Caenorhabditis elegans: one gene and its partners. The protein of the gene in region 4 purifies or fractionates together with the protein of the main gene of each other region. This does not show direct contact. Each region holds a gene or a part of one and is shown on either strand. Other genes may lie near its edges.

Region 1 (3,285 bases), 2.4 Mb from region 4:
ATTTCAAACTTTTGTTGTCGCGGAATTTTCATCAATTTTTATAGTTTTTCGATAAAAATATATTTATTTATGTGATATCTAAATATATCAACAAAACACGAATTTGGAAATTTTTTCAATTTTTTTTTTGCGAATTTTGAAAAATGAATGTTTTTATTGAAATTTTTGAGTTTTAAATATTTAAACAAATAACTTTTAACACAACTTTGTCGTGTCAAGACCAGTTACCGTATTTTTGGCACAAAAAAACGCGAAATTTTGCATTAAGGCAATACGACTCACCCAAATCTAGAGTTTCTTGGAAACAATGCGATCTACTATATTGATTCGTGAAAATCCGAACAGAGTGTCCTCGATCCTGTAATCCAACAGCAGCATCAACAATCAATCGTTCGGCTCCACCGATGCCTAGATCTGGATGGAGAATGGTTACCCGGACCATACTACCAAATTCAATATTTTAATTCTTGTATTCAATTTTTTTAAAATATGAGCATGGTAATATAAACATAATGTTATATAAACTTTTAATTTTTAGAAAATAAAACAATTTATTTATTCATTCCTTAAAATCTCTGTAAAACTCGGGGTGGCACAACCTATTGTAACATGGATGCTATGGCAATTCGAAAAAAAAAGTGAATAGGGAAAACCTTAACAAAAAAAAAAGATGATAACAAAAACTGATCTAAAGACCCTTCAGACAATCATCAAGAAGACTGCTAGCTCCGATGCGGAACAAGTGAGGATTGAGCCATTCGTCGCCGAGAATCTGAAAAATGAATTTTATAATTGTATTTAGAATAAGTAACACTCACATCTTTGACAAGAGCAACATAAGAGAGTGCTTCATCAACAGTTTTGATTCCTCCAGCTGGTTTGAATCCAACCTTCTTTCCAGTGAGCTCATGCCAACGCTTAATGGCAGTACACATAACGTAAGCAACTTCCAATGTGGCGTTCACAGATTCTTTTCCAGTTGAGGTCTTGATGAAATCGGATCCAGCGAGAATACTTGCCCAACTTGCTCTGTAGACGTTGCTCAAGGTTTTCAGCTCTCCAGTTGCCAAAATAGTCTTGAGATGAGCCGAGCCACAAGCCTTCTTGCATGCCAAAACCTCATCGTGAACAGTTTTCCAATCCTCGTCCAATGCTGATGCTCTGCTGATGACAATATCGATTTCAGTAGCTCCATCAGCAACAGAGAGCTCGACTTCAAGAACTTTGGATTTCAAATGATATTGTCCAGATGGAAATCCTCCGGCTACTGAAGTGATATTGGAGTTTAACTTCGAAGAAGCAAGGAATTTCTTGACATCGGCGATTCTTTGAGGATAGACGCAAACGGATCCACAATGAATTGATGGATCAGTTGGGACTGGATTGATTGCTCTTTTTGCCAATGCAACAACTTTGCTCGCAGTATCATCACCATTCAAGGTAGTTAGATCAATATATTGAATTACTTTGCGAATTTCGTCTTTCTGAAACAAGCATTTTAATAGAAACAAAGAAGAATTATGCTTATGAATTATTAATCTTACATTTCTCAAATTCTTCGCTTCTTGCTCGTATTTGCTGATGGCCTGAGCAATCTCCTGATTATCAAAATCGCGTCCAACTTCTCTTTCGAATGTGGCCACGTCGAAACGGCCCTTGTAAGTGTCACGAACGAATGAGAAGAGTGTTGGCACGATCGTCGCCATTTTGTGACTGAAAATTGAATATTTTTAGAACATTTTTCGAATAAAACGAGGAGTTGAAGAGGAATTATATAATTAAAAATAAAAATCGTGGCGCACCGAGCAAGATTGGTGCAAACACTAGAACGGAAAAGTGCACAACTTTTTTATCTTGGTGGGAAACAAGAAACAATTTTTTGTTGAAATAATAAATACTTCACAGCATTGAAACAATCAAAAAATAATAATTGTTTCAAATTAGAGAAAATAAGAATACTTTTTGTTCGCGAAAATGGCAAGAAAAATCGTGAGACCAAACCGATAAAATAATTTCTTCTTTATCGTTTTGTTCCAGTTGATAACAATTTTGATGATTGAGGCCATTCGATAAGTTATATGTGATCCGCTTATCATCTCAAAGGTCGTTTATTGAAAAAATAAGAATTATTTATAATATGCGCATTTATGAAAGTCACAAAATTACAATAAACCACTTTTAAAATCTTATTCTACACAAACCTACTGTAAAAGTTGTAGAGAAAACTGAAAGTTGAAGAGAGCATAGAGAAATAGAGATATACAACTGCTGACGTCTTTTCGGCACTCAGCTGACGCACTTTGCGCGCATCTTCGCAATAGATTTTCCGGATTTACTCTATTTTGGTAATACTGAATTCAAGTATGGCAAACGACGAAGAGTTCTTTATTGTTCGATGTCGAGGACCTTCAAGCTATCGTGAATCCGTCTATAAATACCTAGTAAGTTTTTTTTTGTATTTTTAGTTACGATAAATAAAATTCGCAATATTTTCAGACAGGACAACCATCTGATTGGAATCGAAATTCTGTGTTTTTGAGAAATATGCATGTCGGAAGAGCAAAAAATGTCAAAGAAATCTTCAATTGCATATTACAGACACAACCTCTTCCTGTTGTACAACCTTGTAAGATTTTTTTAAACAAAAATTTGTATTTGATTGATTTTTAAGGTCACCCAGTAAGACAACCACGCGAAAGCTTTTACTCATCTCATGAACATGATCCAATGGATGAAGTTTTACTACAAGAAGTGAAGGAAGAAGCTCATTCACTGGCTTTCAAAGGAATACCAATTGAAACCAAGGGTCCTACACCATCATCAACTATTATGAATCCTGAAGTTACGCTTAGAGACGTTCTGACGTTTCACAAAAATATTAAAAGAAGACCACAAGAGACAAAACCGGCAAAATTTGATTTCTCCGCAATGCCATCAACTTCTCGGTAAGTTTCGTGATTTTTTCAAATTTAAAATTCAAAGTAAAAAACTTTTCAGACTTCCACCTACATCTCCAAAACGCTACCGCCAGTTTGCACCTCCTCCAATCTCTATGAAACAGTCTCCCAAAATTTGTGCCAAAACTGTTTCGTGTCCGAGTACGTCCGAAGTAAAGAGCCCACCAAAAAAGATGATTATACAGAAGATACAGAAACATCAGGAAGCACCGAAACCAGCAAAAGTGCCAAAAATCAAAGGCGAAAAGAAGAAAAAAGATGGTGAGTTATTTTTAAAAAAATCGATAGATGTCTGATACAAAAGTGTCTATTGCACCATGTTATTCTA
Region 2 (3,392 bases), on a different chromosome or scaffold from region 4:
ACGCCAATTGTTTTTTAAGTTTCGAAAAATATCAAAATTTTGTAAACAACTGAACCAATACAACAAATTCTTGAGAAATTATAGAGTGGACTCTTTTCTTTGGCTCATACAGATTTTTGAGCGAAAAAATTATTTTCTAGTTTGCTTCTCTGCTTCTAAATATTTCCGATAAAACATTTTTTGTCTGAATTATTGAAATTTGTTGGGTACAGCTATCCGAAACTTTAATAAAATTCCTAAAAATTATATCAATGTACAAAAACTGGCAATTTCAAGTAACATTACAACCAAGTGTTGAATAAATCCTTGCTAATGGTAGTTAATTTATTCTAAACTTCAAACTAATTTTAAATGTTACCTGCCAGGTACCAAGACCAATACTTGGCATGAGAACTCCATTAGACAGAGTGAAGATTGGAACTTTTGATGACATTTCGAAGGAAAATAAAGTTTGTATAGTTGGGGGTACTTCATATTTATACACAAACCGCAATCCTAATTATCGAATTAAAACTGGAAGAAAGACCTTGAATTTGTGGTCTGTGTGTGTGTTTCTCTTAATATATAAAGAAAATAGTTTGCGCTGTTCCAATTTGTACTTCGTTTTATTGAAATTAACAACATGGACGAGGGGAATGATGAGGAAAAGATTATGTCAAATGGGTAGAAGTAGACGAATAATGACGACTTGGAAGAACACAAAATACATTTTTAAGTACCAGAAGTTTAGGTGACTTGTTCCATTTCCTTTCCATTTTTATTTCTAATTTCTCGGTCTTTTTCCATCTTCTCCAGTCGTGAATTGGTGTATTTGTAATATCCTTCCTTCCCTAAATACCACATCAAGCGATATTCATGCTTTTGATTCATTCTCTCTGCTTTCTTTTTTCTTTCCTCAAAAGTTCGTTCCAGTTTCTCAAGTCGTTTCTTCTTGTACATTCGGTATTTTTCAATAATATGGTCGTTGTGGTCGGCAAAGATGTGAATCTAAAAATTCGATTTTTTTTTCAATTGTAGAGAATTTGGTGTATGTTGTTTCCTAACAGGATTAAAAAGTTAATTTGATGTTTTTGTGAGTTCATTGTACATTTTAACAAAATAAACCTACATTTGATATATGCCAACCAAACTTTCAAAATTTTCAGACTGGAATTTAATTTCAAATTTAAGACAATAATGCCAAACGTGTTCAAGATTTTGACATCTTTATTTAAAACAATTCTAGAAACTCACCGCCCATTCTCCAGCTAAGCCGTCTCTTTTGAATTGAGCATTTTTTAGAAGATAGTCATCTAATGAGTTTTCCAATGCAAATGCCGATGAATAATGAAATCGGAAAGGTTTAATACATCCAATTGGGTGAAGAGAACGGAAGAAATGCTGAAGTTTTGAATAGTTACTATCATTCATTGCAGCATATCCAGGGAAATACTCATTGAATTCTTCAATCGCAGCGACATACTCAATTGACATCAATTTGTGCTCCGATTTTGGGAATGTATCTCTCCATAGTTTGATTACTTTTTCGAACATTTTGAAGATAAGCAGGTTAGTTAGGAAGTGTCCCTGGAAATATTATTATTGTTATTATTATGAAAGAGATGGATAAATGTAGTAAGTATGCAAAAAGTAAATGAAAAGCCAATCGTATGCAAAAGAATAAATGGACAAAAGCTGTAGAGAAGCAGACAAAATGAAAGAGAACGAGAAATAGGATGAGGAACACTACACACATACAAACAAGGAGGCAACGAGTGGACCACCTCAAGCATCTTGTGAGTTATAATTTGCACACACCCCCCGTACACTTCCCCGCTTGTTTTTGATTTGATTTTGTAAAGGATGCAGAAAAAGAATTGAACAAAACAACACGTCATGATGCTCTGCTAGAGTGCTTGGAGCAAATGATAAGAGAAATATTAGAAGCTTTTATTGAAATCAGGTGGTCAGTGGGTGAAGCGCATGGTTTTCCCACAACAATGTGACCTCGATTATGAATTACAAGACTTTATGAAAAATTCGTACTTTATGAAAAATCGTTTGGTAAAATCTTTACGACTTACTTCCGTACTGGATCATCCTAGTGGGTACCTTCATAATACGTACAGTAAGCCTTCCACAAGGACGCAACTTGCGAAAATATTTTAAAATTAAACTCAACAATACTATTTTTAGTTGAACTTAGTTAAAGCTAGAATATGCGAGATTTTAACAAAGTGTTTATCCTGAAATTTAGTGCTGGTCTTGCTCTATTATTTGTACCTTCTATTGGAAACTTGACACCGTGAACTCATGATTTTCTATATCAATTTTCACATTTTTCCACCTCTTCAAAACTTTCCCTCTTTCAAGCTTGAAGTCCCTCTTCGGTTTTCTACAATGCTAACGAGCTTCAGTATCACGCATTACCCATGCGCAAGAAAATGAGAACAGACAAGAAATTTCAATCAAGCCTATTATTATTTTTCTCACTTTTTTTTCCTGTCTACTCACTTTCTCTTGAAGGAAAAGCTTAAAGCAGTGGCACCCACTGCCATCACTACTACAAACCGGTCATTGTCAACAAATAACACAACAACGCATTTTTGTTTTGTTGACGCCATGATGCGCAAGCAGGCATCTAGAATTATTATGCAGTGGTGGGATGGTAATTGTGAAAAATCCGGATGTTTTTACATTTTATACAAAAATTCATATAAGGAGTTGAGGAAAAATGAATACTTGAAACATGAATACATATGAAACAATTAGAGAAGTTACATTTCTATGTACAAATAAGAATGTTAAAAACATTTAGTTACAGTTTGTTCAATTTAATAACTAAAGAAAAACAAACGGTTCTTTGGCATTATTGAACAATTTTGAAAATGAAAAAATTCGGAAGAATGTTAATGAGAAATTTGAAGCAAGAAACACGTTACAGAGTGCACAAGTACCCGTTGGCAGAAAAGCAAGATACTTGGCACCTATAGCATTTCATATTCTAGAGCATCAACGTCCTTGTCCTCGATTTTCTCCAACTCTTCAATGTCACTTCCATCGTCTGAATCCTGATCACATTTGTCGAATTCTTCATGACTATCGGAATCACTCGCATCGTCCACAATTTTCGATTGTGACGCAGCCTAAAAATAGTTTTGTTGAAACTTTACGAGTGAACAATTTGCTTCCCAACAATTAATTAGAAATAACGAGAGAACCATTTTATTTATTATTATTTTGCACAAATCAAACTTTAAGCTAGAACTTACTTTTGTGTTCTTCTTGTCATCCAAGTTCAGTTGCTCCATAACATCTTCTAAAAGAGATGCTGCAATTGTAACTTCATTCGTCTTTTCGGGAACATCTGATTTAAGGTTTTCAGATTTTTCAGTTTTATCCTTTTTCACAGT
Region 3 (3,336 bases), on a different chromosome or scaffold from region 4:
ATTATAGTCATGTCTACTTCATGACTATAATCTTGCCTATCTATGTTCCTACCTATTCAAAATATAGTCCAACATTTAAAAATCCTGTGAAAAAATCACGGTTGTGGCTTGGATTAAAAATGATTCGATTCAAATCAGCATAAATATCTCCCTACGTGCCTGCCTGCCAACAACTCTAACAAACATGTAATTGTACCTGATACATACAGTTTTTCCTTGCCATACTTTATTAAGTTAATCAAAAATTATTTCAAAATTATATGGACAAATTAAATATTATTAACTTTAAAAAGACTTTTAATTTTATTATTTTCCTTATTTTCTTCTTCACTTCCTTGCAACGCACTCTTTAAGTCATTCTGGAAATTTGTTTTGTTGAACTCGATCTCGAATTTAAGCAGTTCAATCATTTCGTTTTTCTGAAATTATAGTTTTAAAATTTAATTCCATGTAAGAAATCCGAACCTCTTTAATAATCTTTCTGGCTTGTACCAAATCATCAACCAACTCATTTGCATCTTCCTCCGCAAATTCCAATGATTCCAGTTTTTGGCTCAATTCCTTTATCACCTCGTTTCGCTCTTTCAGTTTTCTCTGAAGTCCACCAATTTTTGCCACAAAATCTCTTTGATGCATTCGAATTTTGATTAAATGATTGCTGATTTTACTTCTCTCTATTTTCATCTCCTTCTGGTGCTCTTTAATCATTTCCTCACTAGACTCGCACATTAATTTTAGTTGGTAATGAGCCTGCAAACGTTGTATATAAAAAAGAATGTCAAGATGCCTGCCTACATGCCTGCCTACCACCTAGCTCTATACATTTTGGCATGCATTCAGGAATTTAGTGAACCTCTAGAAAGTAAAACTGGGAAAATTTCCAAAGAAAATTTAGTTAATTTTCACCAAATTTTCGAAAGTTTTTTTTTTTAAAGTCAAACATTTTCCAATAAAATATTTCGCATTTTTTTCAAAAAAAACACATTTTCCCAAAAAAAATTCGATCCGTTCTACTGTCTATTTTAAAATTTAATAAATCTTCTCAGCTTTAAACACCTCTTAATTTTTTATGAGGGGCTCCAATAAATAGCTTGAGGGGAACACGATTATTGGAATTTACTTTTGAAATTGAGAAATTTTCAGACTCTCGAGAATTTCATTGATAATGCTAATAAAATATTCAAAAATATAAAAAAAAACAACAAAATTTACCTTTGCCTTTTCCTCAACTATTTGCAACATTAACAGAGCTACAGTAACCGCGTACAGTAACCCGAATAGAATCGGGAAATTATCCATTGAAAGTGTCATATTCCCGTCTTGAAAGATATTAGTTAACCACGACATTATAAAATAAAAAGATTGTCTTATAAGATAAGTAACAAACGAATGAATGAGCCGGTCGTCTTAGTCAACGGGTCAAGTGTTTCAGCCGCGTTCGTGAATCAATAAGAGCTGGAATTGCCTCCTGGCATTAGTGACTGTAGTCCACACTTTCTACTGCCTAAATTATCCATACAGGGCAATGTGATCAATTGATCAATAGGTTATTAAATATAACTATTTTATGCAGTGCAGTGTTTCATCCTTTTGGGAAAATTCACGGAATCAACAGGTGAATTTATGTTTTTTAGGGTGTGAACACAAATTGTTAATGTTATAATTGTCCTGGAGAGCCTTTAAACATTTTACAATTAATATATTATAAATAATACGTAGAAAATCAGTATTTGAACAGGAAAGTAGACATTTTAAAAATTTGAAATTTGAAAAACCGCCACAAACTCAAGCAACGACACTCCGAGATTACGAATCGCGCGTTGTTTACCGTAAATTTACACTAATTTTTGTTCTCTGAAATTTTTTTTTAATTGAAAAGCCGTCCATTTATTTATCTTTTTTTGTCAAATCCTTGTGTTTTACGTGGATGTTTGCATTTGTTTTTTATTTATTTAATTTCGAATCACTCAACTTTTTATTGATTTCTGTTCCTCAGGTGATGGCTGCGCGTAAGCTGATCGCACGTATCAACCCAACGAACAGTGCTCTTTTCGTCTGTGATCTTCAAGAGAAGTTCGCGTAAGTTTTGAAAGAAACTAGTTTATGAGCAAAAATAATTTATTTAATTATTTTCAGGTCAAATATCAAATACTTCCCAGAAATCATTACAACTTCGCGTAGATTGATCGATGCTGCCAGAATCCTGAGTATTCCAACCATTGTTACTGAACAATATCCAAAGGGTCTCGGACACACAGTTCCAACTCTCAAAGAAGGTCTCGCCGAGAATACTCCGATCTTTGATAAGACGAAAGTAGATTTTCAGATTTTTGTTCATAATTCAGTCTTATTCCAAAAATTTCAGTTTTCCATGTGCATTCCTCCAACTGAAGACACTTTGAAGAAAGTTCAAAATGTGATCCTTGTCGGAATCGAAGCACACGTATGCGTTCTTCAAACTACATACGATCTTTTGGAACGTGGCTTGAACGTTCATGTCGTGGTGGACGCTGTCAGCAGCCGCAGTCACACTGATCGTCATTTCGCTTTCAAACAGATGGAACAAGCTGGAGCTATCTTGACAACTTCTGAAGCTACCATTCTCGGACTTGTCGGTGGATCGGATCATCCAAAGTTCAAGGAAGTTCAGAAGTTGATCCTTACTTCAGCCCCTGATACTGGCCTCGTCCCGTTGTCGAAGCTCTAAATGTTTTCCGTTTACGGCTTCTTTTTTTGCCATGTAGATTTGTGTTTAGTACCTCACTATGTGTAATTACAGCATTTAACCGGTTTTCGTCCCATAAATTATGGTGGTAATTTGAGTCTTTTTGCAAAACGTTTCTTTCATCGCATCTCCTTGCCACCGTTTGACCATCACATCATGTTTCAAAAGTGTGGGTAAACATTCCGAAATTCGCGGAAACGAAATGCGCTTTGAAAATTTCAAGTGGCTCACACAGTAGAGCCCGCTAGTCCATTGACCTCCAATGTTTGTAGTTTGCGAAAATGATGGTGACGATGGTGCAAAGAAAACTTTCAGTTTTTTTTTTCAGAAAAGTCAGGTTTGTACAACACACATGCCACCACGTGGCAATGAAAAAGGCAGAGGCAACAAATAAATTGGAAGCAGAGACAATAAAATGGGTGGGTGATCTGATCTGTTGTGACGAACAAAATGATGATGATTGGATTCGCGAGCTGTTGATGAAATATGCAGAAATGAATCGAGAAAAAGAGAAGAAAAATACCCAAATATTCAAACAGACAGACGAAAAAAATGTTTTCCTGATTCGAGGAACGTGTTTTCTAAGTGGAACGACGGCAAAATATGGGTTG
Region 4 (2,895 bases):
AGTCTGGAACACAATTGGGAAACAAATTAAGTTTGATTGAAAAAAGAAGAGAAAAGGGTCATCACAAATCAGAGATTGTGAGACCTTGAACTTAAAGTGATAGTCTCTCGTACTTTTCTTCATATGGAGAATATCACGGAGTAGAGAAAATAATATGTTTTTGGAAGTAGAATCGATCATTTGAAAACTTTAAAACAATAGTTATGAAGCCGTGTTTTTTATCTCTAAAAGCTTTATTTTGTTCATACCATGAAATATTTTTATTTGACAGTGTCCAGTTTACTACGATTTAAAAATTTTCAGTTTCAATGTTCAAAAAACTGAACTTGAGCACTTTTTCTACACAATATCCTAAGTACTAGTATGCGCAAACAAACAGGTTTGTGTCAACTTTACCGCTCAGTCATTCATAAAAAGTGTACATCCAATCTAAACATAGATACACATGCCTATACTGAATATTCTAGTTTTTATATGTTTGCTAGTTTCAATTGAAATTTGAAGAGCATCACGATTTTTATTAGAATTAGAGCTCATTTGGGCAAAAAGGGAATCAATCGAATGAGAACGAGAGAATGAGTGAGGGTATTTACAAAAAAAAATTGAGAGGTTCTTTGGTTGATCAGCACTTATTGTCCTTGGGCCTTCTCGAGCTCAGCCTTGACGTTAGCTGGGAGGGAGTTGAGGTAGGCTTGGATCTTTTGTCCCTTGGCTTGAACAGAGAGGGAGCTGTCATTGGAGATGGCGGTAAGGTCAGCATCGGCCTGAAAGAAATTGAAAAGATTAAAATTGATACTTTGGTTTTATTCCGAAAACTAGTAGATGTAGTATTTGCAGTGCTAGTACAAATCCGACTAGTTTATCTGATTTTACTTTTACGTAATATATGGCTTAATCTAGTTGGTTTATCCACATTATCTTACTTTCTTGGCAGCTGGAGAGAAGTTGGAAACAGCGGCTTGATGAGCAGCCTCAGCTTGTCCCTGTTGTCCCTTGATGAATTTTTGGAAGTCAGCCCAGTCAGCAGCAACCTTTCCTCCTTGTTGGTTAACCCAGGCTTGGACCTTTCCGTCAAGAGCGGTCTCAGTCAAATGACCGTTGGCTTGAATGAGCTGTTGGAAGCTCTGAAGTTGAGCTGGAGTGGCATTACGAAGGAATGGTGGAACATCTTGACCTCCGGCTGGTTGTCCGTAGACAGACACAGCGGCGACGGCGAGAAGAGCAAAAACGGCAAGACGGCACATTTTAAGTGAATCAGAAAGAGTATTAGAAGACGACTGATGAGGGATGTCCAGCAGAAATAGTTTCTTTTATACAATCGACGCTCATAGTCATTTCTCTCTCCCTCTCTATCTCTATCTCTCTCTCTGTGCCGCCCTTTCGCTCCTCCCACACGTAGATCATAGATGAGACAGTATGGAGACATAGAGAGATACAGTGTGTTCGCTGAAGTTGACCAGTTTTCCGATGGAAAATCGCTGAATTTGAAACTTTTTCAACACAATAAAGAAGCCGTAGTGACGAATAAATTTAGAATATTGGAACAGAAGTTAAGAAAGACGTCATTGAGATAGAACGCGGACAGAGGTTCTCATGATTTTTTAAAATTCCGTTACAGATTCGATTTTCATTCTGTCTTCTTGTAACTGAACTGTTGTGTTGAAAGTCACATATCAAATATCTGGATTTCGTGAAAAATGAAAGGCTCGGAAATAGTAACTACTCTTGGAGTGTGATCAAATATTTCACTCTACAAAATACAAAAGTTAAAAAAAATATTTTTTAGTTGTCTCGATTCGAAATTAAAACTCCTTTCCCAACAAGTGAAATGACTTGCGAAAAAGTACTCTAGAACTATTGCATGGAAAATTTTCCCAACTTTTTCAAAACCTAGTGTTTTTCAGTCGATTTACCGGCCTTTTGCTTTTTTTAAATGATTTTATCATTATTCTTCATTTCCTTTTCCCTAACCATCATCAATATGAAACGTCTGACCTTTTGTCGGTATCTATCAATACGAAGATCTATCTTTACATCTTTCTCGTCTCATTTTAACACTTTCCTCAATGACATCATTCATCTTTTTAAGCTTATCATAGAAATGAAATAAGGTAAAATTTGAAACAAAAGGTGTTGTTTGTGTAGCCTTGAACTCATTTTTCTCTTTTCAGTATATTTTATTATCCGTTTTATGTGTATCATCTTCGAGGTTTTTCCATCTAAAATCGTAGTACCAATCCGTTTTCTTTCCTGTTTCTGCCTTCAGTCGATCCCATTTTATATCCTTCGATCACTTCCTGATATGGAAATAAAACTGTCGGTTCCTCCTTTTCTTGACTTCTTCATTTTGTCAAGCACCAACATTCTGTGGTTTCAATGACAACTTCTGATTTGTTCCAATGATCGAAACATATCTTTAAATGCTACAAGTCAGAATGGAAAGATGGTCAGAAGGTGTATCGAACAATTAAGTTTAAACTGAAAATGAATCGAATTTCTGACAACCAGCTTGATCTGTACAGCTCTAGACTTATGTATCTACCAAAACGTAATTCTAATTAGAACGTTTTGTTATGATCTATTTTTCTTGAGAATTTTCGTGAGTTAGACTACTATTCAAAACACAATTTCATTATTTATCCTTTAACATTGTATATGCCCTCGGAAACCTACACTTTCCTTCATTCAGATATTATCTCTAGTTTTATGACGTGGTCATCCATAAACATGTAAACGTCATTGTTTCTTTGTTCAGTTGATGTGCCAAATATGTACAAACGGACCATTTCTTTATAGGCGACATAAATCTTTTCGCTGACCTATCTAACAGAATATAACCTCAAACTACGTTTTCCCATATACCGACCGAAAACCAATGAAATTAAATCTGAGAGT

The links.
Region 1: the proteins of srlf-1 (region 4) and F09E5.3 fractionate together in Caenorhabditis elegans (co-fractionation; one large-scale study listed by BioGRID). This does not show direct contact.
Region 2: the proteins of srlf-1 (region 4) and ZC443.2 fractionate together in Caenorhabditis elegans (co-fractionation; one large-scale study listed by BioGRID). This does not show direct contact.
Region 3: the proteins of srlf-1 (region 4) and marb-1 fractionate together in Caenorhabditis elegans (co-fractionation; one large-scale study listed by BioGRID). This does not show direct contact.

The regions. Positions count from the first base shown.
Region 1 is NC_003280.10:5,372,425-5,375,709, reverse strand, and holds F09E5.3 (Putative deoxyribose-phosphate aldolase), read right to left. Parts: upstream 1,714-3,285; 5' UTR 1,707-1,713; coding exon 1,545-1,706; intron 1,485-1,544; coding exon 819-1,484; intron 773-818; coding exon 689-772; 3' UTR 545-688; downstream 1-544. Other genes in the region: algn-2 (Alpha-1,3/1,6-mannosyltransferase ALG2), read right to left, coding at 283-442; agt-2 (AlkylGuanine DNA alkylTransferase), read left to right, coding at 2,364-2,441, 2,497-2,626, 2,672-2,945, 2,998-3,218. UniProt on the Caenorhabditis elegans protein: Catalyzes a reversible aldol reaction between acetaldehyde and D-glyceraldehyde 3-phosphate to generate 2-deoxy-D-ribose 5-phosphate.
Region 2 is NC_003283.11:12,809,626-12,813,017, forward strand, and holds ZC443.2 (uncharacterized protein), read right to left. Parts: upstream 1,568-3,392; 5' UTR 1,534-1,567; coding exon 1,234-1,533; intron 1,115-1,233; exon of another isoform or gene 988-1,114; coding exon 727-987; 3' UTR 587-726; downstream 1-586. Other genes in the region: ZC443.1 (NADP-dependent oxidoreductase domain-containing protein), read right to left, coding at 359-433; ZC443.3 (Glutamic acid-rich protein-like), read right to left, coding at 2,967-3,125, 3,252-3,392.
Region 3 is NC_003282.8:12,207,671-12,211,006, reverse strand, and holds marb-1 (Isochorismatase domain-containing protein 1), read left to right. Parts: upstream 1-1,996; 5' UTR 1,997-1,999; coding exon 2,000-2,079; intron 2,080-2,136; coding exon 2,137-2,314; intron 2,315-2,365; coding exon 2,366-2,707; 3' UTR 2,708-2,819; downstream 2,820-3,336. Other genes in the region: F35G2.3 (uncharacterized protein), read right to left, coding at 270-419, 466-750, 1,213-1,299.
Region 4 is NC_003280.10:7,788,981-7,791,875, reverse strand, and holds srlf-1 (SXP/RAL-2 family protein Ani s 5-like cation-binding domain-containing protein), read right to left. Parts: upstream 1,285-2,895; 5' UTR 1,245-1,284; coding exon 924-1,244; intron 765-923; coding exon 630-764; 3' UTR 501-629; downstream 1-500.